Linked DNA regions of Xenopus tropicalis. Each later gene encodes a partner of the first gene's protein in a complex. Links are inferred from orthologs where the notes say so. Each region holds a gene or a part of one and is shown on either strand. Other genes may lie near its edges. The genes, in order: sf3a3, sf3a1, sf3b1, sf3a2, sf3b4, ddx46 and sf3b2.

Evidence for each region.
Region 2: the proteins of sf3a3 (region 1) and sf3a1 are in contact, whole or in part, in an NMR structure (PDB 2DT7), measured with the Homo sapiens proteins. The link is inferred for Xenopus tropicalis from reciprocal best matches to the Homo sapiens genes SF3A3 and SF3A1. Residues at the interface, in NP_006793.1 of Homo sapiens: Glu80, Phe81, Glu83, Phe84, Tyr85, Arg87, Leu88, Ile91, Lys92, His95; in NP_005868.1 of Homo sapiens: Ala161, Phe162, Asp165, Val166, Leu169, Thr170, Phe173, Asn177, Phe181, Gln184, Leu185, Lys188, Phe195.
Region 3: sf3a3 (region 1) and sf3b1 share a complex: the UniProt entries of both Homo sapiens proteins name them as parts of the 17S U2 SnRNP complex. The link is inferred for Xenopus tropicalis from reciprocal best matches to the Homo sapiens genes SF3A3 and SF3B1.
Region 4: sf3a3 (region 1) and sf3a2 share a complex: the UniProt entries of both Homo sapiens proteins name them as parts of the SF3A subcomplex of the 17S U2 SnRNP complex. The link is inferred for Xenopus tropicalis from reciprocal best matches to the Homo sapiens genes SF3A3 and SF3A2.
Region 5: sf3a3 (region 1) and sf3b4 share a complex: the UniProt entries of both Homo sapiens proteins name them as parts of the 17S U2 SnRNP complex. The link is inferred for Xenopus tropicalis from reciprocal best matches to the Homo sapiens genes SF3A3 and SF3B4.
Region 6: sf3a3 (region 1) and ddx46 share a complex: the UniProt entries of both Homo sapiens proteins name them as parts of the 17S U2 SnRNP complex. The link is inferred for Xenopus tropicalis from reciprocal best matches to the Homo sapiens genes SF3A3 and DDX46.
Region 7: sf3a3 (region 1) and sf3b2 share a complex: the UniProt entries of both Homo sapiens proteins name them as parts of the 17S U2 SnRNP complex. The link is inferred for Xenopus tropicalis from reciprocal best matches to the Homo sapiens genes SF3A3 and SF3B2.

The regions. Positions count from the first base shown.
Region 1 is NC_030678.2:83,812,772-83,816,247, forward strand, and holds the end of sf3a3 (splicing factor 3A subunit 3), read right to left. Parts: intron 2,820-3,476; coding exon 2,729-2,819; intron 2,531-2,728; coding exon 2,475-2,530; intron 885-2,474; coding exon 807-884; 3' UTR 653-806; downstream 1-652. UniProt on the Homo sapiens protein: Component of the 17S U2 SnRNP complex of the spliceosome, a large ribonucleoprotein complex that removes introns from transcribed pre-mRNAs.
Region 2 is NC_030677.2:144,333,953-144,338,846, reverse strand, and holds the start of sf3a1 (splicing factor 3A subunit 1), read right to left. Parts: upstream 3,079-4,894; 5' UTR 2,986-3,078; intron 2,973-2,985; exon of another isoform or gene 2,864-2,972; 5' UTR 2,730-2,863; coding exon 2,640-2,729; intron 1,710-2,639; coding exon 1,594-1,709; intron 1-1,593. UniProt on the Homo sapiens protein: Component of the 17S U2 SnRNP complex of the spliceosome, a large ribonucleoprotein complex that removes introns from transcribed pre-mRNAs.
Region 3 is NC_030685.2:45,929,604-45,934,293, forward strand, and holds the start of sf3b1 (splicing factor 3B subunit 1), read right to left. Parts: upstream 3,319-4,690; 5' UTR 3,227-3,318; coding exon 3,199-3,226; intron 729-3,198; coding exon 562-728; intron 1-561. UniProt on the Homo sapiens protein: Component of the 17S U2 SnRNP complex of the spliceosome, a large ribonucleoprotein complex that removes introns from transcribed pre-mRNAs.
Region 4 is NC_030677.2:102,622,869-102,627,713, forward strand, and holds the end of sf3a2 (splicing factor 3A subunit 2), read right to left. Parts: intron 4,549-4,845; coding exon 4,502-4,548; intron 3,977-4,501; coding exon 3,867-3,976; intron 3,399-3,866; coding exon 3,349-3,398; intron 2,975-3,348; coding exon 2,834-2,974; intron 2,570-2,833; coding exon 2,501-2,569; intron 1,540-2,500; coding exon 916-1,539; 3' UTR 821-915; downstream 1-820. Other genes in the region: amh (muellerian-inhibiting factor), read right to left, coding at 1-269. UniProt on the Homo sapiens protein: Component of the 17S U2 SnRNP complex of the spliceosome, a large ribonucleoprotein complex that removes introns from transcribed pre-mRNAs.
Region 5 is NC_030684.2:128,887,179-128,892,074, reverse strand, and holds the start of sf3b4 (splicing factor 3B subunit 4), read left to right. Parts: upstream 1-1,647; 5' UTR 1,648-1,683; coding exon 1,684-1,717; intron 1,718-4,001; coding exon 4,002-4,130; intron 4,131-4,896. UniProt on the Homo sapiens protein: Component of the 17S U2 SnRNP complex of the spliceosome, a large ribonucleoprotein complex that removes introns from transcribed pre-mRNAs.
Region 6 is NC_030679.2:26,177,572-26,181,721, forward strand, and holds part of ddx46 (probable ATP-dependent RNA helicase DDX46), read right to left. Parts: intron 3,989-4,150; coding exon 3,851-3,988; intron 3,090-3,850; coding exon 2,940-3,089; intron 1,974-2,939; coding exon 1,743-1,973; intron 1-1,742. UniProt on the Homo sapiens protein: Component of the 17S U2 SnRNP complex of the spliceosome, a large ribonucleoprotein complex that removes introns from transcribed pre-mRNAs.
Region 7 is NC_030680.2:40,088,233-40,092,382, forward strand, and holds part of sf3b2 (splicing factor 3B subunit 2), read right to left. Parts: intron 3,800-4,150; coding exon 3,745-3,799; intron 3,503-3,744; coding exon 3,411-3,502; intron 3,242-3,410; coding exon 3,136-3,241; intron 728-3,135; coding exon 642-727; intron 278-641; coding exon 74-277; intron 1-73. UniProt on the Homo sapiens protein: Component of the 17S U2 SnRNP complex of the spliceosome, a large ribonucleoprotein complex that removes introns from transcribed pre-mRNAs.

The DNA.
Region 1 (3,476 bases):
GTTGGTCCAAAAGTAACTTTAGAATGGATGAAGAACAAGGCTGCTAATGAGCAAAACCTTTTATTTGACAAAAAAAAATGATCTGTTTATTTTAAAAATATGTAACAAATGAAAGCCTTTAAAGTAGGATGTTTGTTTAAATACCCATAACTATGTAGGCAATATAAATATGGCTCCTGGTTTAAACATAAGCTTAAATGGTTTCTTACAAATAAGAGGTGGACTCCTGCCACAGAAGCACAGTAGGATGTGGGTAGCCAATCAAAGATCTGCCTTCACAGACACAGAGGTGGAGGTTCCCTCTCAGGTTTGCCTAACTGCTGGCTGCCCAACCATGAAATTGGATAGGCTGAAACCCTGCAGAGGAAAATGTGCACCACCAGATAAATAAGTCCACCAAACAATGGAATGGCTGCCCGATGCTAGTGAAGATTTTAGCGAAATGTATAATGCAATGGCAAATACTTGTTCTTGACCATATCCAGAATTGACCAGGTCCAGAATTCAGTAAATCAAATATTAGACCATGGTTCTCTAAATAAATATCACTAAGAATCTTGGATTCCCTTATTTTCTTCCCAGTCACTACATCTAATATGAATCAATGGAGCAGGATTACAAAATATGAAACGATATAAACAAACTGGCCTAATGCATTGAAAATTTTGCACATTTTTAATTAAAAAAAAAAAATTTGCATTTTGTAAAAGATGAAACGTTCAACAGCTTTGCAAATAGAAATGTCACATTAACAAACATGAAAATCCAGAACCATAACAGGGCAGTTAGAAACAAAATGTCCATGGTTACAGAAGTCCTTGACGCTTTAAATCTTCGTAGGTCTTCTTATTTACAACATTCCCACTGGAATCTTCGTATTCCTCCTATTCAAGTACAGAAAAAAAAACACTGTTCAATAGAGGCACAGTGTGTTTCATTGTCTCATACATATAAAACATGTACATAAGGAAATCCGGCAGTGAATAACTGTAGGTATATAAAGCATGTCATGAAAAATAAGATTTTACCAGAAAAATACAAGCGCATTATACTTAAAACTGATTTCCTTTTTTTCTGTAATAAAGCAGAACCTTTTACATGAGCCCATCTAAGATATCATTATTCCTTATTGGATGCAAAATAATCCTATTGGGTTTAATTAATGTGTTTAATGATTTTTTTAATAGACTTAAGTTATAGTGTTAAAAATTATGGAAACACAGTTTATCTGGAATACCCTAGGTCCCAAGCATTCTAGATAATGGATCCTATACCTGTACCACAAGTGGCACATAGTTACTTGGGGATAGGTAGTCACTACATCAAAGAAAAACACTATATAGCTATTTTTGCTGCAGCTCAAAATAAATCTCTGCTACCGTGGGTGACTAATGTCCCCAAAAAGCCTTTCCACTAGCAATAAAGGGAATCGGCGGTTGAAAGGCCTACGCATTGCTCCCTTTTTCCCCGTTTTGCCTGCAGGAGGAAACTGTGTGTGACTTTGGAAAAACAAAATGATGCATAGGCCTTTCCACCACCGATTCCCCCCGTGGGACTTTAGCCTAAAGGTTTATATTTAATCTCACAAAATTGGGACCACAGAAACTAGATAGCTGCTGTAAGAAAAGTAAGTAAGAAGAGTAAGAAAAATTATTCAGACCAATTGCAAATTGTCTCAGAACATCACTGAGGGGTCCCCCAAACTTTTTTACTCATGAGCCAGAGTCAAATGTAAAAAGACTTGTAGAGCAACACAAGCAGTATAGAAGTTCATGGAGGTGCCAAATAAGGGCTAAGATTGGCTATTAGGCAGCCTCTATGCACACTATCAGCTTACAGGAGGCTTTATTTGGTAGTAAATCTTGTTAAGTCAGGCATTCAAAAATAACTACCTGGTTTGGGGGCACAGAGAGCAACATCCAAGGGGTTGGTGAGCAACATGTTGCCCCTGAGCCACTGGTTGCGCATCACTGGTCTAAAGCCTACAAAAAGTTATTTTAAAGGTAAATTACCCCTGTTTGGAACTGCAATTACCCCTGCAAATATTTCTATGAAAACTGGATACGTTTAAAAACAAAACTGCAAAGCACTTTTCATAAGGACATCAAATATGATATGGGCCCAACAATGTTTAAGTATTTTTTTTTTTGGTTTCTATTTATTGTGTTAGGTATCCATGACTGCGGAAAACAACAGGTTTTGCACATCTGCATACAATAACCATGACATATCTGGTTATATGCTCAGGAGGAATTGTATGCACTTTGATAAATCCCAGTAGTCTTGATTTGCAGTAAATGACTTTCTGAAATTACAAACTAAAATGAACTAAAAGCAGAAAACATTACCACTTACCTTACTTAACACATTTACAACTTAATTTTTAATTCATTAGCAAGTGAAATGGCTACTTTACCATCCTGCAAATTATAGAGGTCTAAGTTTAAGCCAGTGTTAATACAGTAAGGACTCACCTCTGTATCAGGCTGCCATCTTTCAGAGGCCTTCTGATGCTTCAGCTTTGACCACACTATAAGTGAATGAATAGACAAGTATGTAATATATGCAAAATTGCTCATTAATAGGTTAGTTATAATTATAGGTTAGTTCTCTAATGTTTAATACAATTAATAACTGCAAAATTCCAGAGAGCAACAATTGGTAAGATAGGTGACTGATGAAATGAAATATGTGCTAGACTGAATTCATGAGAAAAAGCTTTACTTACAGGACACAGCATCCTCAATCTGTGTTACATTAGCAAAGTGTGCAGTGTTTGGAATGCCAAGACATCTCATGCCATGAGCATGACGCCATTCCTATGGATTGAAAGAAAACATAAGTCAGTCAGTACTGGGTCAGACACAGGAAGGGAAAAAAAAGTACAAAATGCTGCATTTCACCATGCCATGAAATGGATTTATAGGCCTCCAACTAGAGCTGAACTAATTTTATCTTATAAAAAACAATGGTAGGTGGTGTAGTTCAACTGACAATATGCTGCTTGAATGCCGCTTTCTTCTGGTTAAAATATAATATAATGTACAGCATCTCTGTAATGACTCCATCTTATCCTACATGCATTTCCTAGGAACCAGCTATGAATAAGCCATCAAACAGGTTGTTATCCTGTACTTTACTGAAGTGTTTAATGTCCAATAGCAATTTCATTCTGTCTTCTTTTTAATAAAGAAATAAGCTATGGGTTGTCACATACAATTTTTGTGACATATATACAGAGGTTTTCTGTTTAACAATCACTTTCTGCTCAAAAGGGAAACAAATTTTGCAGTACTAATTGGTTTTGCATGGAAAAGCATGCTCATATTAAACAAATGTTTTTATACATAGATAGCATGAATTTCAGTATTCAGTATTTTAATTTCAATGCTTTAGATTACTTTCTGATTAGCAGTAAAAAGGCTTTTTTGTAGTTTATAGAAAAACAACCTTTACAGTTAAGGTGATCAGAATAC
Region 2 (4,894 bases), on another chromosome or scaffold:
TTCAAACAAAAAAATGCTTAATGCCAAGAACATTTTATACCACGAGAAATGCTACTGGTACTAAAGTGTTACATAAACCTAACATGCATCATACATGTCCCCAAAATACAATGTTGCCTTTAGTTTCCTAAGATCATGTACATAAAAAAAGTGACATGCCCACTTTTAAAATCAGTGTGCAGAAAAGGCAAAAAATTATGTGTCTATGTATCTCAAGTCTTTGTGCTCACTGTCATCAAAATTGTGATCATGCAACACCAAGGAAAATTTAGGCGGTTTAACAGGTTATTAAGGTTTTATTATATTTACAATAGTTATTCCATTGATGAGACTTAAGGAAACTTGAATACTTAAAGCAACTCTGCACAAATCTACTTACCCATCCATTATTACCATCGATATTAGAAGACTATCCAAAAGCTTTGTCAACAGGCTTCAAGGCCTACACATATTTCATTATCTGATTAACAGTAGATAAATACTGAACATGATAAATGTCAATAGCACCGTCTCTTAACTGGCTTTAGGCTAATGTCCCAAGAAGAGATTAGCTGCCCACAATAAATCTCTGGTACCACAGGCGACTAATCTCCCCAAAATGCCTGCAGGAGGAAAGTTTGCGCGACTTCGGAAAATGATTGATGAGTGATGCGTATGCCTTTCTCCACGGGTGCAGAGATTTATCGTGGGCAACTAATCTCTATGTAGAGCATTAGCCTTAATGACACTTTCTAAAAAGCCATCATTATTCCATTTCACCATAATATCTTTCAATTCTTGATTCTAAATAGAATACAAGGAACCATGGAGGGGCTCCTCCCTAATGCTGACAATGTGCTACCAATTAGTGCTAAAATAAGTAATGGGCTATCACCCAAGCACAAAAATATACTTGGGTGATACCCATTACTTATTTTATCCCTAATTGGTAGCAAATTGTCAGCATTAGGTAAGGGGCCCCTTCTTGTATCCTTGTATTCCATTTAGAATCAAGAATTGAAAGATATTATGTATCCAATTCGTGTTTTTATGGGAAAGGGAAATACTTTTTTAAAGATATTATATAAAATTTGATGTGTCATCTTATCTATAAGATTTTTTCATGCAATGTCTGATAGTGGCCTTATAACTACCAGGGAAATGGTTTAATTGGTTTCATAAAGGTTATATGATTTGGGATGTACATATTTCAGCTGGAGAATGGACATTAAAATATTAAACTTAACTCCTCCTGCTGCTCAGGGCTTCATCCCCTGCCTACCTACCTCAACACTTCTGTTAAACTGCCAAAATTTTTATGCAGTGTTAAACCCATGTCTTGATTGTGCTAAACACCAGAAAATTTCCACACTATGTTTAGCAATACTATCACCACTTCCATGAAACTGTGAACCAGGCTTGTTTGTTTTTAAGAATAAAAGAGGCACATAGGCCCAAGGTAAAAGAACAGCGATTTCTTTTACTGGAGGATGCCTAACAAACTGATACACTCCTGTGTGCAGTTTTGCTAGTCCTTTAAATTAGTACATAACTGCAAATTTAAAAACATTTATTTGAAAACTATCTACAACAAGAATATATTTTAGGAGGCACCTTGCTACGAAGCTTGCGGTTTTGTCCACTATATTTCGGACTTCTGGAGGAGGGTAAATAATTCCAACAACAGGCTTGGATGGAACTACCTCTTCTTTCTTCTCCTCCTCCATCTGCTGCAAAAAAAAAAAAAACAAACAAAATAATATAAACAAAGTGATAAACATAATGACAAATTAATGTGCAGAAAATATAAATAAAAATGTATCTTGGCCCATCACACATATAATGAAAAATAATTGCCACACTGTCTAAGATTTAACTGCACTGTATTACAAATATATGTTTAAAAAACATAAAATAACAGCAGATGCCTCAGACAAAGACACCTCAGAGACTGGAAAATGTTCAAAGGGGCAGTATAACCTGTCACAGGCTTGAATGTTCATTAGCAGAAAAATACAATATCATCTAAAATTTGTCAGATCTCTGGCTTACATTATAGTTCGGGGTAAGGAATATGCAGTGCAGAAACAGCCCTTACCAACAAGCTGCAGCATCTCACTCCAGGGAAGACTTGAAATTTAAGGCCCATCCAATGCCCTACAGACTTGCTTTATATTGACTATTACTTGTAAACACAAATGTTATTGAAAACTCTACCTGAGTGGCTGCTCGCATTCTCTGCGTTTCTGGTTCTGACTCTTGAAACAATACGACAGAAGTCAGCTAAATTAGAACTTCTGATACAATGTTTAGAGTCAAAACAAATACCACTTGTAGCTGCAATTATATTTACAAATAACGTCTAACATTTCTTTAAATACACTGTACAGTTGCTTCTTTCATTTTCTATCATTATGCAAGTGTTTTTGCTTAAAGATCCCCATAGAGCATAGTTCTGCACGTCTACCCTACACCCCACCCCAGGCAACGCTCTGCGAACCTTAGCTCTATAACTATTTAACTATTTCAGCTTTAGACCCACTGCTTTAACTGCTTACGATGAACCTGTTTTATTTACTCAGAGAAATAGACTAGACAGATCATTACTCCACATGACCAAGGCCTACTCTTTTTCATAAATCCCTGAATAATCGGAGAACCTCTATCTCCCTCTGCCGCGATGCAGAGTCCCGTACCTGGCCTCCGTCCGGTGTCTGCGGCGCCATTATCTGCACTGGTCCGGCCGGCATGGTGCCCACTCCAATCCCACAAACAAGGACAGAAGCGGTAACTTCGGCAGACGAGCAAAATGGCGGCTGCGCAGAATCAAGGTAGGCGTCTCGTGGATAATCCCAGCTGAGTGTTATTATTTACAGCGTTCCGCCTGCAAAAACGTAGCATACATAGTCTTTATCTTAAGTCAATAGAAACAACTACAGAATCTAACTGTACATATTTCCTTTTTTTTAGTCTAATGCCATAGCGTGTAAGCGCGTCACTTCCTACCCCCCTTTTTTGTTGAATGGTATATTCCAGGATGTAACTTGCACACTGCGTTGCGGAACCACGTTGATTTTCCACTCAGACGCTCTGAGTGCGTGGTTGCCATGGAGTTGGCTTCGGCGTCAGATAGTTGAGACGTAGACCTAAATGTATGGCATGGAAGAAACCTGAAAGGACGTTGCCAGCGCATTCGGTTATCCTCATAGCCTCGGTACCGCGAAGTTTATACAGGGGCAAAAGTTTTTTTTTTATGCCACACGGAGGGGGGGGTTTAAGGCATGCGAACGATTGAAAGAGCCGCAGCTAACGTATGCAGTCCCTAAATTAGGTAGGTGTTTTATTAGCAGCAATGCAATGAAATCAACTAGAGAGGTACATTTCCTGAAGAAAATGTGAGTGGTGCTTGCCGTGGCAAAACTCGTGCCCCAATATTACAATGTTTCCTTCAGTTCGGTTAATTGCCCCCTGCTGGGGCAATTTACCGCCCACCCCCTAGAAAAGCCATTGCACCCCATTCCCGAATAAGCCGCATGGTTTGACACCTCATTCATGGGTCTACGACAAACGTGGTTAATTGCCCCCTGCTGGGGCAATTATCCGCCCACCCCTCAGAAAAGTCATTGCACCCCATTCCCGAATAAGCCGCATGGTTTGAAACCTCATTCATGGGTCTACAACAAACGGTGCGGGACTCATTCAAATTTGGTCTCAATGTTAAGTCTATGGGCGGATAATTGCCCCTTGCTGGGGCAATTAACCGCCCACCCCTCAGAAAAGTCATAGCACCCCATTCCTGAATAAGCCGCACGGTTTGACACCTCATTCATGGGTCTACGACAAACTAATTATTTGCCAAAATCCCCATTATAAGTCAATGGGGCAAATTTGAGGACCTCTCTTGCCCCGGGGGTAAAACATATACCCTTGTGCGGGGTATCTTCTGACACAGGTTGCAAACCTCTTCAAATGTGGTAAATTTCATGTTTCTAAAAAATTCCCTCTCTGCGCTACAATCCGTCAAAGTTGGCCTCAATGTTAAGTCTATGGGATTTTTGGGCCAGTTAATTGCCCCCTGCAGGGGCAATTAACCGCCAACCCCTTAGAAAAGACATAGCACCCCATTCCCGAATAGGCCACACGATTTGACACCTCACTCATGGGTCTACGACAAACGGTGCGGGACAAGTTCCGTGCCGAACTTTTGTACGGAAGAATAATAATAAGCCTGTGAGATAATAGAAGTGATGCTTTGCAAGCACCACTAATAACGTCAGTCTTATTCGAAGTAGTGTGATTAATTTCTATTTTAAAAAGACCAGTAACACAGTGGCATGAAAATGTTATAGTATGTAGAGAGTCATCTTTTGCGAGATAACGTGACGTATAGGGTTTGGATGAATGAAAAGGGTTCAGATTCCGTAACCAAATTCTGAATTGGGTGCATCCGTAAACTATACAAATAAATATATGCAGCAATGCTTTTATTTATATCAGAAAGGTTTATATCTTACCTATAGCCATTAATGACATTGACCCCCTGTTCACTTGTATTCTGCTTTGCAAATGTGAGCTCTACATGAGGGTCGACACCTTTTATAGAAAAATATATCAGCCTTTATATCATTTTTTTTCTCCCATTTGCCATTAATAAGAATGGCTTTAGGGATGAGTTTTGACAGCCAGGCGGCAACCTTATTTACATCCCTATTAGAATTTGCATGACTGCCCACATGGATAGAATATTTTCTTAATTTATGTTATAGTTCCTTCTAAAGCAAAAACATAGATTTTACCAGAAATATAAATATGAATGTATGTGAAAACTGTTCCATTTTTGGTCTTACAGGCCCATTTAGTTTCAACTACTTAGTCTCAAAAATGTGAAGAAAATTTCCAGTGGAGCTGCTGTGTC
Region 3 (4,690 bases), on another chromosome or scaffold:
GGTACACAGCAGCCTATTATATAAATTATAGTACTGATACTGTAGCAAACACACCAGTTTTACCAGTGCTGGGCAACAGTGCATTATATTTTTATTACTTTAAAGCTCTTTTATTTTTTGGTGTTACTGTTCCTTTAAGGGCCATGGCAGACGAAGAGATTAGTCGTCTGCGACAAATCTCCCCGATATGCCAACCCACTGGCTTGAATATAAATCCCCGGTGGGATGGCATATGCGGCGTTGCGATTTCCCAAAATCGTGGAAGTTTCCTCTCAAGGCAAGTCGAAATTGCGGCGCCACGTATGCCATCCCACCGACAATTCACATTCAAGCCGGTGGGGTGGCATATCGCGGGCGACTAATCTCCCCGTCTGCCGTAAATAGATAAATTAGTTGGATAAGATTCCCATTGTATTTGCTTATTTGTTATCTGCTTATGTAACCTGTGCCTTTCCTCCCTTTTCAAGTCTGTATGGGAAAAATATGAGATATATAGTATAGGATAGGGCAACAACAACATTACTGACATTTCTTTAAACAAACAAAATTATTCAAACTTACATCATCTTGCTCATTTGCTGCTATAGATGTGACATATCCAGTAAATCTGCTATCACTTCCACCATAAATTTCTTGATCATAATATCCAGTAGAATCAAGACCAACTCCTTGTGTCTCATCGAGGGCTACCTTCTTTCCTTGAATTTCACGTATCTGTGCTTCAATATCTGATTGGAAAAATATATTAAAATATTTAATGGTACATTAGTTTGTTAGCAACTAGAAACCAGAGATAAAGAAAAGGTAACAATTTAAAAAAAAAAAAACTCACAACAAGCTTGCAAACAGCTCAATGCTAATAATTGATATGTAAATTAGGATAGAGTCTCAAAAAAAGAAATTCTAGGAAATTTAGTATAGGACAAATTTATATTAACTTTGGATGGGAGAAGACTAAGTTTAAGTTGTTTTTTTTTTTTTTTTTTAAGGGTATGCAGCGCTGTACAATCTTACAATATAAAATATTACACACAGGGAGGACAAGTGTTATTTATACAAGTATAAATACACAGGGAGTAAGTGCCATGTGGTATGAGACACAGTAGGAAGGAGGTCCCTGCCCTGAACATCTCACAATCTAAGCATGTAGATTATACATAACCCCAATTTTGAAGACACTGTGGTTTTCTTGATATGGTGTCTTAATTTGGATCTCCATACCTAAAGTCTACTAAAAAAAAAACACAGGATTTTTGTGCCTCTAATAAGTATTAAAGGAGAACTAAACCCTAAAAATAGTAGTAAACTGACTGCACTAGTCAAAAGTTTCAGCATCTCTATAGTAGCAATGATATAGGTCTTTACAGTTGTCACAGGAGCTTCTCATCTTGGATTCTGTTAGAACTGTCCAGGACAGTGCACATGCTAGGGCGGCTGTTGAGAAGCTAAGCTGAGGGGTTGTTGCAAATTATGAAGCAGAAAAAAGGCTGGCCTGTCATATAAACTAATGCTATAGGTCTGGTTATTAAATTCTGCTGCTAATTGCACTGTTTTCACAGCTGCCATGTTAACTGAATCCAAATGAATCACTAATCAGCCTTATACCGTTACATTTATATTGTATATATACAGTATATTGTGCGTCGGTCCCCAAGCTCAGTATCTGACAGCAGCACAAAGTATGTGCAGGGAATCAAGAGAATAGAAGATGAGGGGCTACTTTATAATTTAAGAGAAAAGTAGACTTTTAAAAATTTGAATTTTTTTAAAATTAATTCTATGGGTGATGGTCTTTTTGGATAATGGTTTTCCAGGCAATGGATCCTATACTCTCTAGGCTTGTTGTTTCAGATATTTCACTCACAAACAGAACCTACAGTATGAAAACCAAGGTCTTTACTTGTATACTAAAACAAATGTGTTAACAACAGTGGCGACAAACAGGCACCACCATTGTACAGCCTTTTTACATTGATTCGTAGTAGAGGAAAGTTCGAAAATTTACCTACACAGGTAGGGGATATCGGATTGATCTGATCATTTGGCTCTAGGCCCAAACGTTCAGATCACATTTATGGGATGCAAACAGTCGGGGATTGCATCAACAACCATTGCACTCCTCCCCCTGACTGGGTTTTTTTTTTTTTTTTTTAACCTCTCTGATTGAAATCTTGCCCAGATATTGTTAGGGCAGTCCTGTCTGAGGGCCCCATACACGGGCCAATAAACTGCCAATGATCAGCAGCTTTTTATCCCTCATGCACCACACAGGTCAGGCTATCATTACTTGCTATTTTCCCTGACCTAGGAGAGCAGGTAAATACCTTAGTTATCAATGTTGGCCAGATCAGTGTTGTGTTTCCTGCCACCCTGAAAAAAACAGTTTACTAAGAGCGGCGACAAATCTCCCCACAATGCCATCCCACCAGCTAGAATGTAAATTGCCAGTGGGGTGGCATACATGGCGCTGCAATTTGCTAAAGTTGCCTTGAGAGGAAACTTCGGCAAATTGCGGCGCTGCATATGCCATCCAGCCAGCGATTTACATTCTCAAAGGAGAAGGAAAGGCTAAAGGGGATGGGGGGCCCTTTCCAGGGGTACAAGTTAAGCAATTACAATTACTGGGGGGGTACCTAAGATTTAGCATCCCCAATGATTTAGCCATTCTTTCTCCTTCAAGGCAATTCAGCCTTAGTAAATAGGCACATAAGGCAATTCAAACTGTATGGTTAACTCCAGGTCAACAAACAAAATGATCAAACGGACTATTTGAAGTATTTTATCATCAGCCCACTGACATCTGAAATCACTTGGGCAACTAAACACGTTGAATGTCCTCGCATTCCACTGCTCTTCCTTGCCTTCTACACAACCAATAGAAACGTTTCGCCTCCAAAAACAAACAAAGGTTAGTACATTAAAAGACGTTCTCTGACCCTCCGTCGGGTCCACAATAAAACAACAGGTCACCGGAATTCATAAATATATTACAATCTTAAAAGGACAGAGTAACCGAAATCCTGTTTGTTTTAATCCAACTCCATTGACTATTCGCGTGTGCACAGAATTAATAGCCAGTAAGGCCTTCTCACGTTTCCCGAAAGTTTATAGATTCATCATTTCATGTATACAAGGCTGACTTACTAACCGAAATTACAAATTATCCCTTTCACCGAAACATTAGTATTCTATTCTTACCTTCGTGTGTTTTCGCAATTTTCGCCATTTTGTAAAACCGTAAAAAAGAGGCAACACGCCACCAAAGCTCCTCCGTAGGTAACTAGGCGCATGCTCTGTTAATACGTAGAATAATGGGCGGTCTCTATTGGTGGCCGCCCAGAAGCGTCACAGAATGTTTTTATGCTTTAGGTTTCCGGGAGTAAGATCCTGCATGGTGGGAGTACGTTTTGTGATCCGTAGGTTTTGTACCGTTATTCGGTACCGTGAGCGACGTTATAAATAGTAAAATTAAAATGCATTATATTTTCAGCAATACGTCGCAGCATTTTACAGTTAGTGAGGCTCTTACTTGATCTCACCTCTTACTTACACTTACCAGGTAATTTTTGCGCAAAGCGGTGGGTTCATATAGGTTAGCCCCACCACAATTAAAAGGACATGAAACGGAAATATATACAGTCCGAAGCAGCCCCGTGTACGGTTGAGATTCTGCTGAATTGGCCGTAGTCCAATTTAGTAAAGGCCATGATGCGCTCTTTGCACTAAAGTATAGTTGCGCTCAACACTGTTTTGTTGCTTTCGTCTTCTGTAGTTCGCACAGTGGTACCCACTGATGCAGGGGAGACCTAGATCTACATCACCTACGCCAGCATTTGAAGGACTATAAAGCTGCTGTTGGGTCATTAATTAGATACTTCACCCAGGGCCAACTCTCCATCTCTACATGCCCAAAATAGATTTTCTACTTTTTGTTACTCCTGTCTCCTTTTCTGTATTTTGCACAGTGACGCCCATTGATTCAGGGGAGCTCTGAAGCTACACCACCTCCAAACCAGCTGATAGTGCCAGGGTTACCACACTGGCCTGTTTAAATCAAAGCAGCAAAGTTATGCCAAAAGAATTTCAGCATTTGTTTGAGGGATAAAGTTGCTGTTGTGCAAGTGTACAGCTTGCAATAAGTTGGCTCCAGTCAGTTATGTAAAAAATCCCATTTATTAAAGGTCATCATGATTGCCTTGCTGATCAGATTCTGCTAAATTGGCTGTAGTCGGTTATGCGCAAAATCCAATTTAGTAAAGGCCATGATGCGCTCCTTGCACTAAAGTATAGTTGTGCTCAGCACCATTCTGTTGCTCCCATCTTCTGTAGTTCGCACAGTGGTGCTCACTGACACAGGGGAGCCCTAAAGCTACATCACCTATGCCAGCATTTGTTTGAGGGACTATAAAGTTGCTGTTGGGACCTTAATTAGCAACTTCACCCAGGGCCAACTCTCAAACTCTACATCCCCAAAATAGACTTTCTACTGCTAGTTTGTCCCCATATCACAGTCAGTCCTTCAAATTATTGTTCCCCAGTGGTTTTCTCTACTGCAGGGTTTTCCTCTTCCAAGTCTTCAATGATGACTGAAGTATGCCCCACCCAAGATACTACAATATTGTAAAAGCAGTGTGTATTTTTATAATTTCTCTGATCTTGATCAGTTCTTTTCCTTAGGGTGCCCTAATGT
Region 4 (4,845 bases), on another chromosome or scaffold:
TGAGTTTCCCACTTGCTCCAGCCTGGAGCAGACACCCCACACATCTGTTTGTCCTGCTCCTCAGTTCCCAGCTCCCGTCTCACAAGTTGACTAGATCGAGAAAAGGTTTTTGGAAGAACAATTGCTTTATAATCTTCTTTTGCAACCTTTGGAACTGACTTGCTTGATAAAGTAAGACACATCATTGGCAACATAAGTAGCCACCAACCTAAACTTACAATTCCCATTACAGTGTAGTTGAAAAACAATATTGGTAGCATCTCAGTCATGAAAGGTAATGCAGCATCAATCCTCTTGCTTCACACACGTATTTGTGCAGAAAGGCATGTTACAAATACCTCCTTGCATTCAGAAAATATTAGTGATGCCTTTACTGCCAAGCTTTGTTCGAGATGCTGGGAGGTTCCCGCATTTTGGCCAAGCTAAGACCTTGAGTTCACTGTGGGATGCGCATTCCCAAACTGTGCTGTCCCATGTTTTTAATTTTTTTTACTTTGCAAAATGAATGGGATCCCTCACAGCTTATTTTTAGAAAGCCACCCCTGTGAAACTCTCCCATACCTTGTCCTTGACAACTCACAAAACCTCTATTGTGGAAACTCTGTCAGGGATATTGCTGGAATAACCAATGCACCACTCTGTAGTACATATTAAATCAGGAATTCCCAGTAGGATATTGCAGGCCTCAATCCATTTGCACAGAATGCAAAACAATGCAAATATGTTTTGTTTCAATTGACCATGCAAATCTTTGTTATTATAGCTTTGCTTCCTGTAACTAACTCTACTACATACACACAAAATGAGAAACCACATTATATTATTTCAAAGGTGGGATTTTTTTTTAATGATTTAAAACATACCACAAATAAAAAAAACTGGGAAAAATATGCTTATCTTTGAAAAAGAAATACATCAGTTGGTGGGAGGGGGTGGAGGAATATTTGTTGGTCCATCGCTAGGTAAAGGTGGCCTCATCATTGGAGGCATAGGGCCAGGTGGGAGAACACCAGGTGCTGGAGGTGGTACACCTGGCGCTGGTGGAGGAGGTACCCCTGGGGCAGGAGGAGGTGGAACCCCTGGCGTTGGAGGGAGTGGCACACCAGGTGCAGGGGGCGGAGGCACTCCTGGGGCAGGTGGTGGGGGTACACCAGGAGGAGGAATGCCTGGAGGAGGAATGCCTGGAGGTGGAACACCAGGTGGAGGCACAGCAGGATTAGGAGGTGGTGGTACACCAGGTGGTGGTACGCCAGGAGGAGGAAGAGAAGGTGGGGGCACAGGAGGGTGCACCCCAGGAGGAGGAACAACTGGGGCAGGTGGAAGCTGTGGTGGCGGTACAGGAGGTGCAGGTGTCCCAGGTGGCATTGGGGGCATAGGCAGTCCTCCTGGAGGAGGAGGCGGCATATTCTCAGGCATTGGAGGACGTGCTTGTATCCCATTGATGGCTGGAGGAACAGGTCTTTTAACACCAGGTGGTGCTGGAGGCAAAGTGGGTGCTTGTGGAGGCTTCTCCATCTTAAAGTGGAACTGTAGGAAAAACTGAAAGAGAGGGCAAAGGAAAAAGTGTTGAAAAGGTCACATACTGTAGCTCCAAGCCTTTACAAGGTAATCCAGAAGTATTCAGAAATGTGTAGAAAAACTAGAGTGTTACCAAACGGTTTCCGGCAACATTTTTTCGTGTGGATATAACCTTAGCCTTACACTATGATGATCTGATATTTGGCACTATGACTGAGGATTTTTTACAGTGGGGATATTTGTTATTTAAAAATGGAGTGGTGATGTAATCCATTTCAATAAGGGGTACATCACATTCAAATAGTTATTTAGTGTTTTACTTTATACAGTTTATATCTGGGAAGTCCTATATTTGGCTTTTTTTTTTTTTACATTTAGGCTTAAATACATTATGCTGCAATTTTCTCCATTTAGTGCCTATGCCTGTGGTAACTGGTTATACCCGGTGGCTGTATGTAATAATAAACAAAGAATATACTGCCTTTGTTGCAGTTACTACTAACCTACTACAATGTTGTTTAATGGTGATTGTGTATTTGTCTGATATTTATGCATTATTACCTTAAAGACAGGACTGGGGGGTTATTTATTGTTCCTTTATGGCTTTTTACTATACATTTATTTAAATAATATAAAAAAAGAATATTTATACACACAATGTTAAACCTCAGCCTGTTTGGCATTTAAAGAAAAAAGGGTAGGCAAAACTATTAAATTAACTATCCCTATGGCATACTGCAGGACTGTAGGTGTTTTGCCACCCACCCCTGTATAATTTGCAGCTTGGTGGGCAGCTTGTAACTGCCCTTCCATAGACTTTTATAGTGATCACCTGGGCACTGCGTACACAATCACACGTCAGGCAATTATCTTGTCTTGGAGGAAATATGCAAAATGTGCACAAAATGAACACATGTAATTAAGACTACTAGGGTACATACGTGAGGGATCCCCCTTTTGCACAAGATGTATTTTATATTACCTGTTTTGTCTCTCTGTTCCAATGTGTCCAAAACTTTCCCTCCACTTTGTCTATTTCTCGACTTGGGACCTGTTGGATAAAAGAAAAAGTGCTGTAGAAATTCCACAATTGGATACATGGATAAAATAATTCTTGTCAATTTTCAGTAGGTTAGTGCAGGCTGTACTAAAAATATGTCATTTTGCAGAAATGGTGGGTGTTTGGTACGCCTACTGAATCGTATTTGAAGAATATATAATTGTGTTATAAGGTGAGAAGGGTTTTGTATGTGCGAGTTTTTCAAAGTTATGGTTTCAAATGCTAGAGAAAGGCTTGCTCTATAGCTTATCCTACCTTAAAAGCAATAGTTTCATAGGGCTCTGCAGCCATCAGCAGGTACTGCCATCGTCTGTCTGGGGGCTCAATCCTCTGTTCGTATGCAGACATAAAGCGGTGTCGGGGCATGATACCTTCAGCTATCTCAGGATAGTCAATCTGCAGAGAAAGAAAGACAGGGCTGAAGCATCATTACAGCATGGGCACCCCTATAGCATCTGGAGCATCATTGACATATTGGTTATTGTTTTAGGGGTAACATTTATGACAATACTTGTTGTCATCAGTAATATAGAATTTTTTGTAATACAGGTATGGAACCTCTTATCCAGATTGCTTGCGACCCAGGGTTTTCTTTAAATCAACCAAATACAATTGTTTTGTCTCCAATAAGTAACAATTATATTAGTTGGCATCAAGTACAAGGTACTGTTTTATTATTACAGAAAAAGGGACTTTGTTTTTAAAAATCTAAATTATTTGTTTAAAATAGAGTCTAAGAGAGATGGCATATCAGTAAATCACATTATTACCTGAAACAACAAAGACTGCTGGGCCATTTCTGGATCTCTCTGCTTAGTCACTAGAAAATAAATAAATGTATGGCTTTATTATCAGTCAGTGAAATAATATCATTTACTCTTTCACATTCAAGATACAGGGCAGAAACAGCTGCAATGCTGAGTGGCCAAATCAATATCAGTGCAAAAAACATCACTAATGCTGGAAACATTTGCTAACAGGACTTCTAAATGTTTAAAACATTCTAACAGCAGCAACAAAAGGTAGATGAAAGTGTGACTGCATAATTCTGACATCCATCTGAAAGCACCTAGTGATATACCTGCACTGATGGGTGCAGAGGACTGTTGCAAGCAGATGATTAAGCCAAATGTTAGCATAACCAGTCTTCAAACAAAAAGATAGGCTATTAAATGTAAGGGTAATCCACATGTGACTGAGGATACCAAAAAAGATTATTATGTTGGAATCAGGGTTATAAACCACTGCATTCATATAAAAGACATATTGACACAACACTTAATCTCACCCTTGTATCCAGGTCGACCAATTTTGACAAATTTCTTCACTTCTACCTTTACTTTTTCTGGGGCAGGTTGTGCTGGTGCTTCCTTTGCTTCTTTGGCCGCTCGGCGAGCTCTGATCAAAAGGAAAAAAAAAAGTAAGAATGTCTGCAACTGTTCACAAAATGATCTTTAATAAGACAGTGCCAGAGAAATCAGTACAGCAATTTGACACAACTTAAAATGTTTAAAATTAAGGAGAATTAACCATTCCTCTGCCACACCTCTCGATCTGAGAGGTTAAGAGAATGGAGAAAGCCAGAACATTAAAACCTATGGCTCTGGCAGTTACTCCCTTGACTGCAAACACCATACCTTTTATGATCTACCTGCAGCAAGCGGTTAATAACTGTAGATGTTGTGCACAAACCCTGACAAGATGCATGGAGGACTGGTTTTGGTTGGAATTAAAAATGGGTTGGGTGGTTTCCTTTCCTACAATTATCTGTCAAGTTTGGGTTTAGGAAGGAATTCCCACCACAACGTTCAACTGAAGTACAGTTTGGGGGTGGCTATGTTTACATTCTTTAGATAAATAATGGAAACTTTGACTTGACATTGCTGTGTTTTTTAATGCATAAAATCAGCACATTTAACTTACAAATTTGTCTGATGCTTTTTTCCTTGTGTATGAGCCAGATAACTCCCCTACAGAAAGAGAAGATACCAACAATGAATGGAGAAGCAAGTGGCATTTTTGAGTAAATACATATCCTTTCAGTTAGTTGCATATGTACTTGAAAGTGGGTTATACTATGCATTTGTGTAACTCTTGAATACCCCTTAATAGCATCTAAGAGAGTCAAAATGAGTGAGCATGTCACAATAAAAAAAATAAAATTATGCGATAAGAAAATGACCTTTATGCCTTTTAAACCAATAAGATTTTTTCTTTTAAACAGGTGACCAGTAAATGCAACCTGCTAATTGGTTGCTATAGGTCAC
Region 5 (4,896 bases), on another chromosome or scaffold:
CTGGCCCAAGCATTCATGCCACAGGCATTTTTTGACAGACAAAATATGGTACATCACCCACTCCAAAACCCCTGTGCAGACACAGCAATGAATCCTCCTCCGCTGCTCCGTTGGGTACAGCACTTTATATAATGTGAGGAGTTAAACTATGTTGCAGTGCCATCTTGCAAGTCATGCATAATGGCGTGGCAAGATCAAGACATTTGCCAATCCTGATTGGTGGGTAGGGGGCAGCAAATCAGTACTGTCCCACAAAAATCAGTAGTTATAACCCATATACTGGGCAAAATCAAACTGATCAGATGGTTATGATCCAACAACTGTATCACAACCTAGGACTATGGGACAATGTTGTCAAAGCTGCCAGCTTATACTGGGGAGGCCAACCAAACTGTCATCTTACATTGTCCTGTGTACAATCAGGATAAAAGAGAATAAAAGCCTGGTTAGTACCTTTGTCCCTTCCTAAACCCCACCAACAGGGACCCCCAAACCTGCTTAGTTGTTGTATCTGGTTAGAAGAAGAAAAGTGCAGGTTTGGCAGCTGCCATCTTGGGCTGCTCTGGCTCCCCTCACTACTGCTCCACCAGTCTGCTTTTTATATCCAGGGGCAACAAACAAGGAGTTTTTGGTACCAAGGCATTCACCAGGCTTTCAGTTACCTTTAACATTAAAGGTTTAAAAATATACATCAGACACAATAGTCAAATCTACTATTTGGCCAATAAGACTTTCTTGTCTCACTAAATTCTCAACCAACAGACATCTCTATGTAAAAGGGGAGGAGCATTGGTCTTTACATGTGACCCTTGTATGTTCCTTTAGGGTGAAGACACACAGAGCTACTAGTAGCAGCTACTTTTTCACAGCTACTAAACGCCAAAAAATCCCCTGCCATAGACAATACTGAGAATTCCCTCTGCTAAGGGCTCTGGCACACGGGGAGATTAGTCGCCCGCGACAAAACTCCCTGTTCGCGGGCGACTAATCTCCCTGAGTTGCCTTCCCCTGCCATCCCATCGGCGACAATGTAAGTCGCCGGTGGGATGGCACACGCGGCGGCGCGATTTCCCGAAATCGCCGAAAAAGATTTGGGAAATCGCGCCGCCGCGTGTGCCATCCCGCCGGCGACTTACATGTTTGCCAGTGGGATGGCGGGTCATGACAACTCGGGGAGATTAGTCGCCCGCGAACAGGGAGTTTTGTCGCGGGCGACTAATCTCCCCGTGTGCCAGAGCCCTAAAACACATTGAGACTGTTATCAGTAAATGATCAGCATTGTCTATTTAAGTAGCGACTACAAGTAGTTGCTACTAGTAGCTCCGTGTGTCTGCACCCTTAGCTCACACCAGGGACCCTTTAATAATCCTTGGTGCCCATAGAAACAATGAAACACCCTCTATGCGCTGACAATACTGGCACATTTACTGTAAAATCTTAAAAAAATATAAAAATAAATAAATAACCCCCTCAGAGTTTACTACACGTTTACTTTTAGCTTTGGGGTTTCATTACAATACAAATATCTCCGCCGGAAAGCATTGACTGCATAAGGCATGTTAATAAAGTTATTCCATCTAAAAAAAAAAAAAAAAAGTGGTTGCGGAAGTAAGCGTTCTGAGGCCGGAAGTAGGGAAGCGGAAACTGAAGCAGCGAGGTGGCTGAGTGGTTGGCGGCGAGAAAATGGCGGCTGGGCCGATATCTGAACGGAACCAGGGTAAGGAACGTACAGACTGCGTATGGGCTGCATGGGGTGATTGGGGCGGAGGGAACTGTTATGCCGGGGGGGCTGGAAGTAGGGGTATCCGGGGTTTACAGGGAACAGTAAGAGCTCAGAGCAGGGGGAGGCGGGCTGCACTGTGTGCATGAGGTGCAGGCTCCATCTCTGTGCAAAAGTCATTTGGACACAAAGCTGTTCTTATAATATCGGCAGCCCGGCCTGTAACTGTACCTGAATCTACACAGAAACATTGATCTGCTTCTTCCCCACCAATACAGTTTATAGTGCTATCCCCATAAACACTGTGTATAATGCACAGAACTAATGCTAAGCAGCCTCCCTATATACATTCATTACACATTTCCAACGTTTATAAAGTTTCTTGCAAAATATAATTGTTAGCGAAAGCCGTCTGTCTTATTATAGTCTACACTGCTGGTTCTGACTTCTGAAACAATGTAACAAAGGCCAGGGCTATTAAACTATGAAATGGTTTCAAGAATAAGAAAGGGGCAGATAGATACTACTTCCAATAGCAATAGCATTTACCTTTGAACCACTGATTTTTTTTATTACCGTATATACTCGAGTATAAGCCGATCCGAATATAAGCCGAGGTACCTAATTTTACCTAAGAAAACTGGAAAAACTTATTGACTTGAGTATAAGCCGACCAGTTACATGGGAGTAGGAGAAACAATAGGTTACCTCAAAGCTGTTCTATCTCATGGTGGCGATTTGGGACATCAGTGCCCGACAAGACAAGGATGAGACACCCACAGAATGGCCACCCAGCACCCTGCTATATTTCAATGAGACCCAAAGCAACTCCCGGTGTGCAAGTGAAGCAGCGGTACCTTGCGGTGTGCCCTGTCAGCAGCGCCAGAGGATCCGTAAGCCCAGCATTTACGCTGCTCTTTAAATAAGCGGCGGCGCTCCTCTTAATTCCAACCTGTGTGTCTGCAAGGAGCCGTCATGTAATCGCCTCGCCAGCTGCCGTGTGACAAGGGTTAAAGAAACAGAGCGCTCTCGGCACAATTATTGCAATAAGCAGCACACCCGACAGCAACAAGACACCACGGTCCGGGAGTTTGGCGCTGTTTGGCCGGTCCTTAGAGTTGCGGGACAACCTCAATAAAGTCCGCGAACGGGTCCTTCGCTATCTGGCGGTAGTCCGAGCGCTATCTTCCGCTACGTCACAGGTGTGCAGGCAGGTTCGCATGCAACGAGCAGCTGCGAAACCATTTACCGTATATATACGCGAGTATATGCGCGAGTATAAGCCGAGGGTTCCTTTTTCAGCACATTTTTAGTGCTGAAAAACTCGGCTTATACTCGAGTATATACGGTATATATATATGTTGGAAAGTTGATGAAAACTTTCTCTCGTTATCTTTCGGGTTTATAGGTGGATATCTCCAGGGTTGTAAAGGGAAAGCTAAACCCTGTAGCAAGGAGAGTTTGTATTACAAGGATTAAAGGAACAGTAACACCAAAAAATGAAAGTGTATAAGGGCTCTGGAACACGAGGAGATTTGTCGCCGGCGATTTTTAAAAGAGCGATTTGGCGACAAGACACCAATGCTAAATCAATGGAAATTGCCAGCGTCAAAACATACGAGGCTACTTCAGATCGCCTGCTGTTTCAAGTCGCACACAGACCCTTTTCTGAGCGACTTGAGGGGGGTTAACTGTTGAGTGTACCATGGGTAGCAGATCGCCTGGAGCTCAACTCGCATGAAATCTCTTTGAGGGTATTCTCGTGGCGACTTGTCGCCAAAGCGCCAGGGGGAAAAAACGCAGACGACAAATCTCCTCGTGTGCCAGAGCCCTAAAAGTAACTAAAATATAATGTGCTGCTGCCCTGCACTGGTAAAAGCTGTGTGTTTGCTTCAGAAAGTCTACTATAATTTATATAAATAAGCTGCTATGTAGCCATGGGGGCAGCCATTCAAAGGAGAAAAGGCACAGGCACATAGCAGATAACAGATAAAACACTATTGTATTCTACAGAACTTATCTGTTATCTGCTATGTAACCTGTGCCTTTTCTCCTCTTTTCCAGCTTGAATGGCTGCCCCTGTGGCTACACAGCAGCTTATCATATAAATTATAGTAGTGTTACTGTAGCAAACACACCAGTTTTACCAGTTCAGGGCAACAGTGCCTCGGATCTATGATCTGTGCATTTATTCAGAGTGTAACGGGGATATTTAAAGAGAAGGTGGAATAGCTGATTTGCCGTGTACTATAACTTTTTTTTTTTTTCTTTTTGGATTTAGATGCCACAGTGTATGTCGGAGGCCTGGATGAAAAGGTGTCTGAGCCTCTTCTATGGGAGCTCTTCTTGCAAGCAGGGCCTGTAGTGAATACACACATGCCCAAAGACAGGGTCACGGGGCAGCATCAAGGTAAGATTGGCACCTCTTAACCATTATTTCTTATAGCTGTGTATAGGCAGGAATGGAGGGGAATGCTGTGGAGAAGTTGTTGCAATTTGTAACAAGAATGTTTTAGTCCCTCCTCCCCTGCCAGGATTTCAAATGATGCAGAAAGAGAAGAACTGTTTTGCAGCTGGATTTCAGCATATAAAAATGGTATTTATTCATGCTTTTTGAAGGAACAGATTACAGGGTATTTTGGGGGTTTCTGTGTGCGGGAAGCAATAGTTTCCACATCGTTTGATCATGGTTAAAGCAACATATCTACTTGGTCACTGTCTCTTCCCATTTGCCTGAATGGGGAAACACCACAGGTGTCCTGGTGAAAATGTGTGCTGGATCCAAAAGCATCAGGGTGAAGACACACAGAGCTACTAAGTAGCAGCTACTTTTTCAAGGCTACTAAACCCCAGAAAATCCCATGCCATAGACAACTGAGAATTGCCCCTGCTAAAACACACGTAGAGACAATTATCAGTAAATGACCAGCACTGTCTTTTTTTTTTTTTTAGTAGCCACAACAAGTAGCTGCTATTAGTAGTTCCATGTGTGTTCAACCTTAAGGCTGAAGACACACAGAGCTACTAGTAGCAGCTACTTGTAGCAGCTACTTGTCACAGCTACGGGAATAGACAATGCTGATCATTTGCTGATAATTGTCTCCGTGTGTTTTAGCAGAGGCAATTCTCACTATTGTCTGGCAGGGGATTTTCTGGCATTTAGTAGCCTTGAAAAA
Region 6 (4,150 bases), on another chromosome or scaffold:
AATAAATTACCCCTATTTAGTATATACAGTAAACATAGTCACTGAGGAGTTTCATGCCCATTTTACAGCACAAGTCATGTATGTAGGTATATATATATGAAAGATTGTCAGTTTGCTTGTGGCTTCATTCTTTATCTGTTCAGACACAGTATGCCCAAAAGCAACAAAACCTCTCAGGGTCCATCCTTTCCATCTACTTTTATCTACATGTTTTGGGTCCTTGCCATTAATGCTTCAAATGATTTGTTTGGACTCGGAATACAAGAAAACCCTAAATTGTTGGAACAATTAATTTGGTGATGAAATGCAACAACATCTTATTAACTTTATTATTAAAACATTTCTAAAAGACCACTTCAGCCTGCTGTGATGTACAATAGGACGTATACAGCAAACATACAAACAATGAATGCTACAGAAGACAGAGGGCCTTGGGCATTAAAGCTTGCAATTTGAAAGCTTAGAGATCATTCTAAAATTTATAAAAATGACCAAAGCTGTAGTCATTCCTCCAAACTGCTATAACTACACAAATGGAATGCACAAATCAACAGGAGAACCTGGCATTAATGACCATTCAGTATATCATTTTCAAGGGTAGTTGTCTCTGCTATACCTTAAAAATACTTATCACTAGCCATTTCTGGCTGTACATTGTTGTATAAATACCCTCTTTACCCATGTTGATTTCTTGTAAGGTAGTCAATGGAAGGTTGGTTTTTTAGAAGTTTGGCAATGGAAGGTGATAAGGAAGGCTGCAGGTTAAGTAACACTAAACCACCTAGTGTGTTATATAACACCGCCTACCCATGAGGGGGAAAAAAAAAAAAAAAAATTATATATATATATATATATATATATATATATATATATATATATATATATTATATATATATATATATATATATATATATATATATATATATATATATATATATATATATATATATAAATATATAAACAAGCAGAGTACCGCACACAAAGGGACTTTATGAAAACAAAAAAGGTTTATTGGAAAAATCCGACGTTTCGAGCACTAAACTGTGCTCTTCCTCAGGTTTGTCCCTGAGGAAGAGCACAGTTTAGTGCTCGAAACGTCGGATTTTTCCAATAAACCTTTTTTGTTTTCATAAAGTCCCTTTGTGTGCGGTACTCTGCTTGTTTATTGAATTGTTTGACCAGCACCGAGGGCAGTTGTTTTTTGCTCAGAGGGTGTGCTCCTCTCTGTTCTTGTATATATATATATATATATATATATATATATATATATATATATATATATATATATATATATATATATATATATATATATAGAAACTCACCTCTAGCTGTCTATTCCTCTTTTTCTCCTAACCTCCCCCCCTGAGCTCAGCTTAACCAATACAGTGCTCAATCGAAGCAGAACTTTTTTTTTTTTATCAGTGTGCCTGTGTGAGACTGCATTCTTGATAATATGTACAATAAACAGGGGTTTTTGTGCACATATGCTGTTAGCAGATTTAAATGTAAGTGATAATGTGTCAGAGGGAATATGGCCAGAGGAAAATGTGAAGGTGCTGGCAAACAGAGGGGATATATGCAGTACATATGATGCCATTTGGGTGGGGGTGATGTGCCCAACATATATACATTGTAGCAAAATGTAGGCTTTACATGTACTTTAATATTTGCATTAGACAAAGTCAAAGAAAAAAAATTGAGTTAAGGTGGGCTTTCCTGTAATTATAGGGAAATATACACACCTGAGCTTCTGCTCCCAAATTCTTGTTCACGCTGAGTTTCTTAGCCAAACGCTTTGCAATCTCCAGTTTCTCTGCATTGCCTGCAGTGGGTAATGTTGCATTAGCTGAAGAGCCTGCTCCGACAGCACCACCAACCATTCCTGGGGCACCGGTTGCTGCCGCACCACCAGGTCCCGCCATGTCCTTTACTCTCTTCTTCGAATTGAACATGCTTTCAATCTGCTCATCAATCTAAAAGGTAAATAAAACTTTGAATTAATGCAAAATGCTATAAACACATAACAGATAAACAGTGTACATACTGAATTTCAAATACGATTACTTGCAAATACGGCAAACTGTGGCAATGTCATACTATGAGAAAAAGAAAACGGGGTCAGCTCTTTTATAAAAAGGGTCTGTACAAAAGGTCTCTAAAGAAGAAGAAATGTAAATTCATAGGGATTGCCAGTTTGTGATAAGATCTTTACAGTAGCAAGAGTTACCACTCCTGAGTGAGCCTCTTAACACCTTTGTTCCCATTTAGGTCAGTTGAGTTGAGCGGATATTTATTGTTTCTGCCTTTATGGCCCAGGGCACTTGTGAGCTACACATTGCTATATTAAAGGGGATGTGAAGTCAAAAATCATAATCCTTGTGTGTGTTATTTACAGTAGACCAAATGATGTAAATTTGCAATATGAACCCATTAAAATGCTCTAACTTTTTTTTTAATTAGAAGCCTTTGTATATTGCATCTTATGTTATTCCTCTGAAATAAGCTCTGCTCACAGCCCCTGCAAACCTACATGGCCAGTGGCCATCCTGATATTAAAAAAAGCAGGGACTGTCCTATTCCAGACTTGAACAAAAACGCACAGGATATTGTTTACTGGATTGTCATTGTACATTTGCTGATAAGCGCAGGTCAGGCCCAGGTAAGGAAGTAAAACATGAGCAGAGAGTGAGACAGGCCCACTCTTCATTACACAGCAGACATTAAGGAATACAGAGCTCCAGTTGGCTATGTTTTAACCCTGTTTTAACTGCTTTGCCATCTGATTTTATTTAGAACAACATGTTATAGTGCTTTCCTATCTTGGGGCTATATTTAAACATGGAGTTAAGATTTTGACTTTACATCCCTTTTAAAATTTCAAATATATTTTCCAGGTTTTACTAAGAGAACATAACCATGATTGTATGTTTATTACTCACATCAAGAGCTGTATCTTCATCATCCGAATCCTGCAAGCCAAGTGCTGCTTTCTGCAGTTTTTTCCGCTCGTTGGCCAAAGCCTGTTCGGTCTCATCAAATTTAAAGCCTTTACCAGAGAACCCGCTGGTTTTCTTAATTATCTTTCCTTCCTAAAGAAAGATAAAAGTTAGAATAAAAGGTATAGGATTCAACTGTTAAGGGTCCTAGCATGACAGGGTTGTGAACAGCACTTTCTTGCTGCGTCACAGAGCAAAAGGAGAACATAAGTTTCAAACTTCTATCGATGGGGAAGTAATCCTAAATATAACATTTGGTGTAATAAAACAAATGTTATTCTAAGCGACTATGTAATATACATTAAAATTAACTGTAATATAATTGTAAATTATGAATATTATTGCTACTGAGCAGGATCTGACTGCTCTTGTTACCACCTGCACTACTATTTGACTTTATACACAACTGAAAAAAATTTAGCCGGCTCTCCATACAAATTCCCACAATGCCTTGCACACTTCTGAGATTCTCCTTCTATTGGGCAGGTTTGATTTTCCTACGTATCAGGGGCCGCATTGGCTCATTGATGGGATCCGATGGCGCCTAGGACCAAACCATTGAATTAGCCCAATATCGCCCACCTTAGGTGGGTATATTGGGAGAAGATCCACTCCGTGTACGGCCACCCAAGATTTCATTTTTAAAGTGAATTACTTACTAGAAGGATTTTCTTTTTCTCTGCAATACAACAATACCTTGTACTTGATCAACTATTATAATTAATCCTTATTTTAAACAATCCTATTGTTAAAAGTTATTTTGGATAACAGGCCCTTTAACTGTGTACAATACTTTACCCCCATGTACATAGTCATCTGGATTCAAATGCATAGGGGAAGGGTAAATATCTTACCGCTTTCTGTTGTTCCTTAAATTCATTCCACAGTTGCTCAAGTTCAGCAGGGACTGCCGTGCCAGACAGCTCCAAAGCCTTGATAATATCACCAGCGTAGCGGGCCTGGTCCTCTGTGATGAAGGTAAAGGCATATCCCTGTAAAATTAAGATGAAACTGGTATATAATTCCATGCAAGACCCAATAGAGGGTATTTTGGCATTCTCCATGAATTCCTTCTCGCAGACATCCATAGTGAAATGGCTCCTGCCTGCAAGCTCAAATAGCTTTCTCCCCAATATCCCTGCAATACGGGCAAC
Region 7 (4,150 bases), on another chromosome or scaffold:
TTACATTCAAACCATCAGCCATAAGGTTAGAATGTGCCTGAAAGATGTCTGGCCACAAACACCTTGCATTTACCTTAAAGGCCTGGAATATTCTCTTGAAGAAGATAAAGTTGGGATCATAGATATCAGGTTCTTCTGTCACATATTCTATCTCCAGTTTTCCACCTGCAAGATCAGGTTCGGCAGCTTCATTAAGCTCATCAACTACTGCAGATTCTGAGCCAACCATTCTCTTACGTGTTCGCTTCTTTCGGTTTCTCCTTCTTCGATTTTTTTTCTTTAGACACAAATCAACAAATATATATATATAAAACCTTCTGCAAACATAATTAATTTGAAAAACACAAACATGGAAACAGACACTGCAGCAGCAAATTCTGCCTTTCTGTAAACAAAAACCTTACAGGTCACTCTTTTGCATATCAGTCTTAAAAAAACTACAAGAGTGAACAGTATTATGAATACACAATAATAACATATAGGAAGTTCAGGCTACTACTATTGCCTGTGTGTGAATCATGCCCTCAGAGGCTTTATGGTAAATTCTTACCAAAACAAATAAAAATTATTTATAATGTTAACAAAACAATATAAATTATACAATATACAAAGACATGTTTGATTTCAGAATAATGTCTGACCTCTTTTTTACTTAGGACATTATTATCCTCTTCTGCCTCTGAAGCTGTATTAACGTAACGGGAGTCTGCATCAATGTCTTCCTCCTCTGAAAAAAAGAAACCAAGTGGTTGAAAAGCAATACCGAAACTACATGCATGTGAATATATAAAGGGAAATTATATATTTTTTATAGTTGAGAATTGCTTGTCTTCTTTTTCTGCCTCTCTCTGGCTTTTGGATGGGGTTCACTGACCTCAGCAGCCTAAAAGCTATTGATTTGTAAGGCTAAAGTTTTATTGTAGTTACTTTTAATTACTTGTCTTTCTATTCATGCCTTCTTCTATTTATCTTCAAGCCTATCACTTACTCCACTGCCTGGTTGCTACGGTTAACCGGACCCTAGCGACCAGATAGCTGGTAAAATTAAAAACTGGAAAGCTGCAGAACTATAAGCTAAAGAATTCAAAAGCCACAAAAAATAAACAAAGATAAATCTCAGATTATTACTGCGTACATCATAGCATATAGCATAGCATGTTCAGCAATACTCTAAGCAGCATCACAAAACAGAACTTTTTGGACTGGCAACAAATCAACTAACAGTTGTTTTACCTAGTAAACCATATCATTTTTGGTAGTAAAGCAATCAAAGCCCGCCAGAAAAAAAAAAAAAAAAAAAGCAGTAGGTTCACTATCTGCATATTTTTTAAAAGCCTCACTCTTTAGGCCAAGGGCACACTGGGATGATTCTCAACACGGGAATAAATGCAGACTGAGAATCAGTACTCTTCTATGCTTGCACCTAGAACCACTGCTTCTGCCTGAGTCCAGGCACAGAAGAGTGCTGATTTAAGGGTAAGAGCTGATTCTCTGCCAGCATTTGTCTATAGGCTGAGCCTTACATAAAGGGGAATGTAGAGATAAAATATTAGGAGATATTTAAAATGAAATGGTCAAACTGTTGGTATGAAAGAAGAGTACACTCACAACCTAACATTAAAGGCCTTACTGGGTGTTGTCTGTTTGGTTCTTAACGATTTAGCATATACAGCTAAAAAAGGAGGAGGCTGCTATTAGTGACAAAACTAGCATACATTTAAAGGACATGTAAAGCCTACATTTGCCTATATGCAAATATCAGTTGGGCATGTCTCCCCCACCCAAATGGCATCATTTGTACTGCATATATCCCCTCTGTTTGCCAGCACCATCACATTTTCCTAAAGAAAATAGAAGCTTTCACCTGGTGGCCATTTTTCCTCTGATACATAATCAGTTACATTTAAATCTGCAAACAGCATACACACACACACACACAAAGACCTTTATTCAGCATACATTTCAGCTAAGGGAGGAGGTTAGAAAAAAAACCTGAAGCAGACAGCTAGAGCTGAGTTTCTATGGAAACCAGCAATGCCATCTCTTCACTGGCTGCTAGACTGGAGGGCATGTTTAGTAATCTGAGTTTAGAACAACTGAGCATGCCCACAAGCCAACAGCCAAAGCAAATTCCTGAGGGAGGGGGACAAGTGGGTAACAGGAGGAGAAGGCAATCTAACTGATTAAGGGGATGCTGCAGCCTTACTATTAACCTCTGGACAACCAGTGTGGCAGGTATTGAAAGATTTCAAAGAGGCTGTTCACTGATTACATTTTTTCGTGTGGGGTTTACATGTCCTTTAAGGGTCCTTAATGTTTTAAGAAGCAAAAGCATTTATAATTTGTCGGAAAATGGCTGACAGGTATAGATCAGTATAGAAGAGTAATAATTCAACACATTTCAGTTACATATTTCAGCTCAGATGAGCTGAAGGTGGATTGTCATCTGAATAAGCACTTCTCGTTTCTCTTAAAGGGGTAGTATATACCTATATACAGCTCTGATAAACATAACCACAATGAATATGACCTGTCTATTCTTTAATGATAAAAATGCATATTTTCCTAATATTTTTGTAGAACTCAACCTGTCTCCTGTAAACAATTTAAGTTGTTCAAAGGGAGCTCTCTATAAACAATTTTTTTTGTTTAATGCAAGAAACAATTTATATTTCTCACTTAAAACAATAGGAAAAATATATGTTCAGCACAAGCCCTATTACTTGACTTTATTATGAAAGAGAGTATATACTTCCCTGTTAAATGCAGATATTCTAGAAAGTTTACTGTAGTTCTTTTTGCAGATTGTGCTGCAGTTGTTAAATGTAGACCTGGATAATTGCCGTCATAGAAACAAACTCAGGCACACATATATCAAAGTAAAAATGCCATAAACTGAATATGCTTTCAGTGGCATCTAAATGACATGAGCAATCAGGGAGTAAATTAACATGCATTCAAAGGTTATTTTTGAAGTGAGGATTCAAACAGGCATATAAGGGGAATGCATAGGTGCATATACTGGGTTTTGTATTAGGTCCTCTAATAAGAAACCATGACAAGAGGACCAAATAGTTATTTGGTAACAGCAATAATTACTTCCTGGGCACTGTTATAAGTTTTAGGAGAGATTACCAGTAGTTGCTGGCAAAGATACAAGCTCTTCTTGCCGGAGCTCCTTAAGCTGAAGAATCTTTTCAAGGACCTGAGGGATTTTAGGTCCTGTTGAGCTGTCATCTGCCTGTTTTAAGAAAAACAGAAACAATCAGAACATGATAAAAAGGTTGCAGTGCAGAAAATATGCAGCACATAAAATAATAAACAAAAGAGGAAAACTGAGGAAAATGGAAAGAGACAATGCCATGAACAAAACGTAAAAAGCAAATAAATTAGCAAAAATTTGGACTTACTTCCTTGGAATCCTCTCCAGAAGGTTGTGATTGGACTCGAGGGCGGCTTGTGGAGGACATCAATGGTGGGATTGAGCTTATGGGGAGGGTACCTACAATTAAGATATACTTCAATACATATAGCAGGTACTCACAGATCCCACGAGCAGGCAAGAGTAGAAAAAATCAAAGAAGCTTTATTGTAGACAATTAGACCACATAATAGCTTTACTCATTTCGTGCACTTGACACTTAATCATAGGCTAGCTTTACCTACTTTTTGATTGCGAATGTACACCAATTTCCCCCCCAGAGGACAGAAATTATTCTAGTGTAGAAATATATAAATATTTACCTCTAGGAAGAAGGGGTGACCGTGTCGTGGAGACTTCCTGATCGATAAGTGTCACCTAGAAGAACAACAATGTAAATATATGGTTGTGTTAAGTGAAACATTTCAAAAGGCAATACATACACCATTTAGACAGTTAACTTTAATTTTTTTCCCCCTTACTAATATTTACTAAAACATATGGGCCAGAGTTATTTAGAGCCATTAATTTATATTCTGTGTTAGTTATGCATTCATCCTTTCCTCTCTATGTATTTATCCGCTATGTCCCCAATTATACCCCCACCTCAGCCTTTATACTTGTACAAGACAACTTCCCATACAGTTTCTCAATAGCCCCGAGTCAGAACATAAAATACATTTTCTCTAATTGCCTCTTGCTCCTAGTAAGGAAGCAGAGAGAATATAC